3 linked regions of the Saccharomyces cerevisiae S288C genome follow. The protein of the gene in region 2 purifies or fractionates together with the protein of the main gene of each other region. This does not show direct contact. Each region holds a gene or a part of one and is shown on either strand. Other genes may lie near its edges. The genes, in order: GPM1, TDH1 and FBA1.

Region 1 (3,037 bases), on a different chromosome or scaffold from region 2:
CTCCTTTGCGCTGTAAAGGGCAGAATAGGGAGTGATGTGATGTGATGCGATGTGATGGGTCTTGCAACGTGATCTAGTAGATATATATGTAAAGGTGTAAATAGGTATATAGGCGTCGGTGAAATTTTATTAGCAACACCAGTTCAATACGATCACTACCGTATCACTGGAAATGTTAGCAGAATTGTCTCATAGAGAATTGATAAAGTTGGCGCAGAAAAGATGTATACCACCTTTATTGCCAAAGTTTCATAAGGGACAGTCTGGTGGGAGAGTTTGCATTATTGGAGGATGCGAAGATTATACAGGGGCACCGTATTTCAGCGCCAATGCTACAGCCTTGATGGGCTGTGATTTGACACATGTCATCTGCGAATACAACGCTGGTACGGTCATTAAATCGTACACCCCAAACCTAATGGTTCATCCATACCTTCGTATGAGTAACACCAAATTAGACGTTGATATGGACGAACAAAGGAAGAAAATCAATTCCTTATTGGATAGAATCCACGTTGTGGTAATTGGACCCGGCTTGGGTAGGGACCCCCTAATGTTAAAATCCATTAAGGATATCATAAGATATATACTTGAAAAACATGAGGGCAAGATCCCGTTAGTAATTGATGCTGATGGACTGTTCTTAGTAACTCAAGATAGCGAAGTCAAAGAAATGCTGAAAAGCTACCCCAAAGGTAGAGTGATCTTGACGCCCAATGTGGTAGAATTCAAAAGACTATGTGATGCCATAGGCAAGAAGGGAGACTCTCACTCCGAGATGGGCAGCTTGATCGCCCAGGAATTGAATTGTATTGTGGTGGAGAAAGGTCAGTCAGATAAGATATTCTCACCCGATAGTGAAAAAGACATGTTGACGAACAGCGAAGAGGGCAGCAACAAGAGGGTAGGAGGCCAAGGTGATACTTTGACAGGAGCTATATCATGCATGCTTGCATTTAGTCGTGCAATGTATGACTTTAAGATTTGTGAGCAGGAAGAAAAGGGAGAATCTTCTAACGATAAACCCTTGAAAAACTGGGTAGACTACGCTATGTTGAGTTGCTACGCAGGCTGCACAATTACACGAGAATGCTCCCGCCTAGGATTTAAGGCTAAGGGACGTGCAATGCAGACGACAGATCTAAATGACCGTGTCGGTGAAGTGTTCGCCAAACTTTTCGGTTAACACATGCAGTGATGCACGCGCGATGGTGCTAAGTTACATATATATATATATATATATATATATATATATATAGCCATAGTGATGTCTAAGTAACCTTTATGGTATATTTCTTAATGTGGAAAGATACTAGCGCGCGCACCCACACACAAGCTTCGTCTTTTCTTGAAGAAAAGAGGAAGCTCGCTAAATGGGATTCCACTTTCCGTTCCCTGCCAGCTGATGGAAAAAGGTTAGTGGAACGATGAAGAATAAAAAGAGAGATCCACTGAGGTGAAATTTCAGCTGACAGCGAGTTTCATGATCGTGATGAACAATGGTAACGAGTTGTGGCTGTTGCCAGGGAGGGTGGTTCTCAACTTTTAATGTATGGCCAAATCGCTACTTGGGTTTGTTATATAACAAAGAAGAAATAATGAACTGATTCTCTTCCTCCTTCTTGTCCTTTCTTAATTCTGTTGTAATTACCTTCCTTTGTAATTTTTTTTGTAATTATTCTTCTTAATAATCCAAACAAACACACATATTACAATAATGCCAAAGTTAGTTTTAGTTAGACACGGTCAATCCGAATGGAACGAAAAGAACTTATTCACCGGTTGGGTTGATGTTAAATTGTCTGCCAAGGGTCAACAAGAAGCCGCTAGAGCCGGTGAATTGTTGAAGGAAAAGAAGGTCTACCCAGACGTCTTGTACACTTCCAAGTTGTCCAGAGCTATCCAAACTGCTAACATTGCTTTGGAAAAGGCTGACAGATTATGGATTCCAGTCAACAGATCCTGGAGATTGAACGAAAGACATTACGGTGACTTACAAGGTAAGGACAAGGCTGAAACTTTGAAGAAGTTCGGTGAAGAAAAATTCAACACCTACAGAAGATCCTTCGATGTTCCACCTCCCCCAATCGACGCTTCTTCTCCATTCTCTCAAAAGGGTGATGAAAGATACAAGTACGTTGACCCAAATGTCTTGCCAGAAACTGAATCTTTGGCTTTGGTCATTGACAGATTGTTGCCATACTGGCAAGATGTCATTGCCAAGGACTTGTTGAGTGGTAAGACCGTCATGATCGCCGCTCACGGTAACTCCTTGAGAGGTTTGGTTAAGCACTTGGAAGGTATCTCTGATGCTGACATTGCTAAGTTGAACATCCCAACTGGTATTCCATTGGTCTTCGAATTGGACGAAAACTTGAAGCCATCTAAGCCATCTTACTACTTGGACCCAGAAGCTGCCGCTGCTGGTGCCGCTGCTGTTGCCAACCAAGGTAAGAAATAAGTCTGAAGAATGAATGATTTGATGATTTCTTTTTCCCTCCATTTTTCTTACTGAATATATCAATGATATAGACTTGTATAGTTTATTATTTCAAATTAAGTAGCTATATATAGTCAAGATAACGTTTGTTTGACACGATTACATTATTCGTCGACATCTTTTTTCAGCCTGTCGTGGTAGCAATTTGAGGAGTATTATTAATTGAATAGGTTCATTTTGCGCTCGCATAAACAGTTTTCGTCAGGGACAGTATGTTGGAATGAGTGGTAATTAATGGTGACATGACATGTTATAGCAATAACCTTGATGTTTACATCGTAGTTTAATGTACACCCCGCGAATTCGTTCAAGTAGGAGTGCACCAATTGCAAAGGGAAAAGCTGAATGGGCAGTTCGAATAGTACTTAAGATTAGTTAAAAGTCCATGATTGAACATTGATGTGGTAGTTACATGCATGATGAATATGCGCCATGAGAGGTTGGTGAATTTTGAGATAATTGTTGGGATTCCAATGTTGATAAAGGCTGTTATATTATGTATACAGAATATACTGGAAGTGTCTCCTCGAGGATATA
Region 2 (3,500 bases):
ACTATCAGTACCGCTTCGTGGTCGTGGAACTTGCATAGCAATGCGATAGCAATGGCACCTGTGGCAATTGAGAGAAGAGCACTTCCGAACTTGATCCCCAAAAAACCAGCCTTATTTCCGCTCCTAACAGAATTATGGCACATAAGAGAGTATGATTCCTTTCTTAGTATATATATACTGCTCAAGGGCAAATGCAATTACTTTGGAAATGCTTTCTTGTTCTGATACGTAAGAAGACAAGTAATCTCTGGACTAAAAGTGGAGCCGGAATAGAGACTCTCTTAGTATCAGTATCCACCTCTTCAAAGGATAATGCGTTCTTTGCCAATAGTCACATATTGTGGGTATGTGCGTTTTGCAAAGGCAGCAATATATTGTTTACTTATTTCCCAAAAAGGAAAAATCTTTAAACCATCCTAGAACTTCAATTCACCACGTTCAGGGTAATATATTTTAACCGCCGACGTTCTCGCCATAACTTTTAAACAGTGATAACTAGTATTGAAACTTAGAAGAGAAAAGGGTAAAGTTAATGCTTAATCTTGTCTTGGCTTAAAAAGTAATATGTACTTATTTACGTCTTCACAAAATCTAGCAGAAAAACGGTAGTATTTATGTATATTCAAAAAAAAATCATTATCCTCATCAAGATTGCTTTATTTAAGCCTTGGCAACATATTCGATCAAGTCAACAACTCTGGCGGAGTAACCGTATTCGTTATCGTACCAGGAAATCAACTTGACGAACTTTGGAGACAATTGGATACCAGCGGAGGCATCGAAGATGGAAGCGTGAGTGTCACCCAAGAAATCAGAGGAGACAACGGCATCTTCGGTGTAACCCAAAACACCCTTCATTGGACCTTCAGCGGCAGCCTTAACAGCCTTCTTGATTTGGTCGTAAGTAGCTTCCTTTTCCAACTTGACAGTCAAGTCAACAACGGAAACATCGACGGTTGGGACTCTGAAAGCCATACCGGTCAACTTACCTTGCAATTCTGGCAAGACCTTACCGACAGCCTTAGCAGCACCGGTAGAGGATGGGATAATGTTACCGGAAGCGGTTCTACCACCTCTCCAGTCCTTGTGGGATGGACCATCAACAGTCTTTTGAGTGGCGGTCATGGAGTGAACAGTGGTCATCAAACCTTCTTCAATACCGAAAGCATCGTTGATAACCTTGGCCAATGGAGCCAAACAGTTGGTGGTACAAGAAGCGTTGGAGACAATCTTCTTGTCTGGAGTGTATTTAGTGTGGTTAACACCAACAACAAACATTGGAGCAGAAGAAGATGGAGCAGTGATGACAACCTTCTTGGCACCAGCGTCAATGTGCTTTTGAGCGGTGTCCAATTCCTTGAAAACACCAGTGGAGTCAACAGCGACATCGATCTTTAGAGAACCCCATGGCAAGTTAGCTGGGTCTCTTTCTTGGTAGGTAGCGATCTTGACACCATCAATGATGATGTGCTTGTCGTCATGGGAAACAGTACCCTTGTATCTACCATGAGTAGAATCGTACTTGACCATGTAAGCAGCATAATCGTTAGAGATAAATGGATCGTTGACAGCAACAACCTCAATGTCTTTTCTTTGCAAAGCCAATCTCAAGACCAATCTACCGATTCTACCGAAACCGTTAATAGCAATTCTGATCATTTTGTTTTGTGTGTAAATTTAGTGAAGTACTGTTTTTTGTGTGTGTTGGTGAAATATCAAACCAAGTTCTTGATGAATTTCTTATTTATGCAAGAGAGAGAATAGAACTGTACTACAAATCTCATTGTGTGAAAATATATTGTCTATTTATATGATTTCGAGACTCCAGTTTTGGTCATTATCACCAAGCTCTTACTGCTACAGAGAATGAACATGCTCCTCCCCCCCTTCTTCAGACTATGTTGTTCTGCACGTGGATACCGTCGCATGCACCTAAGAAGCAGATGGTGGCTTGCCTTACTGTATTGTAAAGATCCAGTCTCCAGATCTGCGACCACTCCGAAGGTTGAAACCCGAGCTTCCTGTTTGCTGTCTCGCGCCTTTTAAAAAAAAAGCGCGATTATGGGCCGCTCGTGACAGTAAAGGAAGCAAGCAGATCGACCCCCTGAAAATGTGGTGTGGTTACTAAGCAGAAGCGTCTTCGTCGCATATCCTATTCCTAGCGCAACAAGGCCCCACGGTGTGGTTTCATGTGACGTGGAGTCATGTAGGCTTGTGGTGCGCACATTTTTACTAAGCTCAACAACCCTACTGGCGCTGCTGGAAGTGAATGGCGAGTAGATACTATCAAGTGTTGGCTGGTGGGACATATCAGCAACTAATGGATAGAATAAATTGGATCAGAAGCTCAGCCCAACTTATCCTCCATATGGTGATATAGAGTGTAAATGAGCATATACATTCGTTTCTTTTTCTCCTCCCATTAGTCTGGCCCTTTAGCATACAAGTCAACTGTAGTTTTCAGAAGCGGGCTTTTCTTGGTTTTTGTTATGTTACCTGTGAGAAACTAATCCATCGAGAAATTTACTCATTTTTTTTTTTACTCCAAGCTGCTTTTACTTAGCTAAACATAAAAAAAGATATTTCTTATGCATTAACTTGAAGAAAAATTGTTCCCTTGGACAACGCTGTGCTTTTCCGAAGCACTGTAAAAGGGAAGAAAACCATATGCTATTCCTCCTTTCGTAGAGAAAAAAAGTTTTAGCACTTGAGCTTCTTACTATATCGTATTTTACCTCTTGCTTGTTTAGTTCGTTATAACTTACGCAAAAGTCTTCTACTGAAATCTAGATATTGTTATGTATAACACTATAATGCCAAACGAAAAGTTAAATATCGAGATGTTGAAAGAACAGAGAACCACATCTTCACCTTATTTAAGGTCGAGCTTTTCTACCGGGTCCTGTACAATGTTATTTCTGATTGTTTAAAATATCTTCTGCCATCTTCATCGATAATAACCAAGCTCAAATAATTCTTGACGTTAAAGTAGTTGCAGCTCATATTGGGCGTCAGGTCATAGCCGCTCAAGAATAATCTTATGGGTATGGTTTCACCTTTCACTGAAGACCCATCCATTATTTCGTATCGGATAGCAGTGGAATCTGTCATTACATTAGAAGTTTGTAGGCCGGAAGATTCTCTTGTGATCAAGCTTAATTCCATATGTTTTATCCTTAGTCTCGTTAAAAGGAAATATATACGCCCCACAATGACTTCTTTTAAGCTGTACTGGGATTTGGCATATTCAAACTCAATGTGAAGGCAATTTTCTATACCTATATCCAATCTAACAGGCTTGGGCTCATTATTTGAATGTGATATCGGCAAAACTTGATTAACGTCTGCCGCCTCACCCTGGGTGCTCTTTGTTTGCGTGTTGTCACTCGCATTATCTGCAGCATAGTTACCACCAGCGATGTCATTAGTGGTTGCCTTTGTCTCATTTGCGGAAAGGGTATTTGGCGCAGTAGTTACACTATTATAAAGATAGACCCAAA
Region 3 (3,511 bases), on a different chromosome or scaffold from region 2:
TCCATCAGGTATATTAAATTGTGATGGGAGAACAAAACAAATTGTACTATGATGTCGAGAAATTGGTGAATTCTTTGCAGGAAAGTTTTGACCTGGATTGCGCGCAAAGTGTATCACTTTTCACCAGTAAATCAAGGAGCAATGAGGCTTGGTTGGAAGAGCTAGAGAATAAATTCAAGTTAAAAGATGATGTTGAACTTGATGATGTGGAAAATTTAAGAGCCGAAATTGACATGAAGTTAAATATGTTGGAGGATAAAGTAAGCTACTATGAAAGACTTTACAAAGAACTCGAAGAGTTCCAGAATGAAATAAAAATTAAAACAGTTGTGAATAACAGAAGACAATCGCGAACTCCAAAATGAGCTATCAAAAACGATAGATCGATTAGGATGACTTTGAAATGACTCCGCAGTGGACTGGCCGTTAATTTCAAGCGTGAGTAAAATAGTGCATGACAAAAGATGAGCTAGGCTTTTGTAAAAATATCTTACGTTGTAAAATTTTAGAAATCATTATTTCCTTCATATCATTTTGTCATTGACCTTCAGAAGAAAAGAGCCGACCAATAATATAAATAAATAAATAAAAATAATATTCCATTATTTCTAAACAGATTCAATACTCATTAAAAAACTATATCAATTAATTTGAATTAACTTATAAAGTGTTAGTGGTACGGAAAGTTTCCAAAGACTTGGTGATCTTAGCACCCATGGTCTTTTCACCTTCTCTAACCCAGACTCTTGGGTCGAAGAACTTCTTGTTTGGCTTTTCTGGACCTTCTGGGTTACCGACTGGGGACATTATGTAGTCCTTCTTGTTCAAGACGTAGTCTCTGATACCAGTCAAGTAAGCGTATTGACAGTCAGTGTCCAAGTTGACCTTGACAACACCGTTGTCAATACCAGTGTGGAATTCTTGGACAGTAGAACCGGAACCACCGTGGAAGACCAAGAACAATGGCTTTTCTTCCTTGCAACCAACTTGTTCTCTGGTGTACTTTTGGTGTTCAGCCAAGATTTCTGGTCTCAAAGCGATGTCACCAGCGTACAAACCGTGACAGTTACCGAAAGCAGCAGCAATGGAGAAGTTTGGAGAGATTGGGTGCAAAGCCTTGTAGACGTTGTAAACTTGTTCTGGCTTGGTGTACAAGTCTTCCTTGTCAGCGTTTTCGTTGTTAACACCATCTTCTTCACCACCGGTAATACCGATTTCCATTTCTAACCATTGGTCCATAGCGGCCATTCTCTTGAAGTACTTGACACAAGTAGAGATGTTTTCTTCATCGGTTTCTTCAGACAAATCCAACATGTGGGAGGAGAATAATGGTTCACCGTGTTCCTTGAAGTAAGCTTCATCAGCTTCCAACATACCATCGAACCATGGCAACAACTTCTTGGCACAGTGGTCAGAGTGTAAGACAACTGGGATACCGTAAGCTGGAGCAATGGATCTGATGTAGTGGGCAGCGGCAATAGCACCCTTGATGGAAGCATTTTGACCTTCGTTAGAGATACCCTTACCAGCGAAGTAAGCAGCACCACCGTTAGAGGTTTGCAAAATGATTGGGGACTTGCTGTCTCTAGCAGCTTCTAAAGCAGCGACGGCAGTAGAAGAAGAGGTGACGTTAATAGCTGGAATAGCGAACTTGTGTTCCTTAGCGTAAGTGAATAAGTTGTGGACATCTTCACCAACGATGACACCGGTCTTTCTCTTTAAGATTTGTTCAACACCCATTTTGAATATGTATTACTTGGTTATGGTTATATATGACAAAAGAAAAAGAAGAACAGAAGAATAACGCAAGGAAGAACAATAACTGAAATTGATAGAGAAGTATTATGTCTTTGTCTTTTTATAATAAATCAAGTGCAGAAATCCGTTAGACAACATGAGGGATAAAATTTAACGTGGGCGAAGAAGAAGGAAAAAAGTTTTTGTGAGGGCGTAATTGAAGCGATCTGTTGATTGTAGATTTTTTTTTTTTGAGGAGTCAAAGTCAGAAGAGAACAGACAAATGGTATTAACCATCCAATACTTTTTTGGAGCAACGCTAAGCTCATGCTTTTCCATTGGTTACGTGCTCAGTTGTTAGATATGGAAAGAGAGGATGCTCACGGCAGCGTGACTCCAATTGAGCCCGAAAGAGAGGATGCCACGTTTTCCCGACGGCTGCTAGAATGGAAAAAGGAAAAATAGAAGAATCCCATTCCTATCATTATTTACGTAATGACCCACACATTTTTGAGATTTTCAACTATTACGTATTACGATAATCCTGCTGTCATTATCATTATTATCTATATCGACGTATGCAACGTATGTGAAGCCAAGTAGGCAATTATTTAGTACTGTCAGTATTGTTATTCATTTCTTAGGGCTTGCGTCAGCTTGATGAGGATTTGTGATAGTAGCCGTTGGAGGCATGAAGGGCATTGGAAACATGGGGAAAGGAGGTATACCGAAAGGTAACGGTACTGGTGGCACTGGCGTACCGCCGTTATTTACAGAAGTTGGAAGGCTGGTATTGTTGTTCAAGCCAGCGGTGCCAGTTGGATCCATCAACTTCATTTTCTTAGTTTCTGGCTGGTTGCCATCTTTAGAGCTTCCGTGTAGTTCCTCTTGTTTCTTCAAAAACGTTTCGACCTCCTTTTCCTTGTCCTGGTCGGGTACTAAAGAATCGAGAAGGATATCGCGGGTTTCGCAATTGGGGCATACAAAGTCGCTCTCTACCAGTGCATTTTCCAGCGCCTCTTTTGAGAAATCTATGTTACAGCACTTGCTTGTCTTTACCGGCTGCCTCAAAAGACCACCTGTCAAGGGACATTTTAAATCGTCAGGAAGATCTTTGAAATGGCCTTTTCTCCAAATGGTTTCATCACCATCAATTTGACGGTTCTCTCTTTTCCTTTGGTAGTCTTCCCATGATTGTTTGTCTTCAACTTGTACCACGAACTTGCCTTCGTCCGTAATCATAATCTTTCGCTGAGCCATCTCTTCCGGTGTCATTGTCTCGGGATCTATTTCAATGGATTTTAAAAACTTCTTTGGAATACCTGTGGTTCTTCTGATTCTTTTTCCTTCAAAATTTGGATCGCTGTTAGTTGGACAATTTTTAATCCAGTGGTCTCTACCCCCACAACGATAGCACATATAACCTGGTGGCGGTGGGCCTTCGTTTTCTTGTGCAGAATTCTTATTCGTCTGTGACTTGAAAAAAACAGGTGTGGCTGCAGACATTTCTTCTTGCGTTTGTTCCCATTGATTTTCTTGTGTGGCAAACATACTAGCAATTCTTTCTTCTTCCGTTGTACCACTAACATTAGCAGTGGTTGTAGCAGTGTGTTGTCTCTTTTGCAACACTCTTGGCCTACCAGTAACATACCTTGTTGCGTTCCCAAGAGCTGCTGCTCCCACATTCCCTTTAAGTCGACTGTGTACGGAGAATGATTTAATTGCTGGAGATCTTTTTACTATGACACTAGTAGATCTAGGTATAACAAAGGCA

What was found.
Region 1: the proteins of TDH1 (region 2) and GPM1 purify together in Saccharomyces cerevisiae (affinity purification with mass spectrometry; 2 studies listed by BioGRID, with this or other methods). This does not show direct contact.
Region 3: the proteins of TDH1 (region 2) and FBA1 purify together in Saccharomyces cerevisiae (affinity purification with mass spectrometry; 2 studies listed by BioGRID, with this or other methods). This does not show direct contact.

Annotation. Positions count from the first base shown.
Region 1 is NC_001143.9:163,066-166,102, reverse strand, and holds GPM1 (phosphoglycerate mutase GPM1), read left to right. Parts: upstream 1-1,717; coding exon 1,718-2,461; downstream 2,462-3,037. Other genes in the region: NNR2 (NADHX dehydratase), read left to right, coding at 173-1,186. UniProt on the Saccharomyces cerevisiae protein: Interconversion of 3- and 2-phosphoglycerate with 2,3-bisphosphoglycerate as the primer of the reaction. Can also catalyze the reaction of EC 5.4.2.4 (synthase), but with a reduced activity.
Region 2 is NC_001142.9:336,430-339,929, reverse strand, and holds TDH1 (glyceraldehyde-3-phosphate dehydrogenase (phosphorylating) TDH1), read right to left. Parts: upstream 1,660-3,500; coding exon 661-1,659; downstream 1-660. Other genes in the region: IRC8 (Irc8p), read right to left, coding at 1-143; YJL052C-A (uncharacterized protein), read left to right, coding at 1,927-2,046; retromer subunit PEP8, read right to left, coding at 2,893-3,500. UniProt on the Saccharomyces cerevisiae protein: Glyceraldehyde-3-phosphate dehydrogenase (GAPDH) involved in glycolysis and gluconeogenesis. Catalyzes the reaction of glyceraldehyde-3-phosphate to 1,3 bis-phosphoglycerate.
Region 3 is NC_001143.9:325,748-329,258, forward strand, and holds FBA1 (fructose-bisphosphate aldolase FBA1), read right to left. Parts: upstream 1,741-3,511; coding exon 661-1,740; downstream 1-660. Other genes in the region: BLI1 (Bli1p), read left to right, coding at 24-365; cleavage polyadenylation factor subunit MPE1, read right to left, coding at 2,371-3,511. UniProt on the Saccharomyces cerevisiae protein: Catalyzes the aldol condensation of dihydroxyacetone phosphate (DHAP or glycerone-phosphate) with glyceraldehyde 3-phosphate (G3P) to form fructose 1,6-bisphosphate (FBP) in gluconeogenesis and the reverse reaction in glycolysis.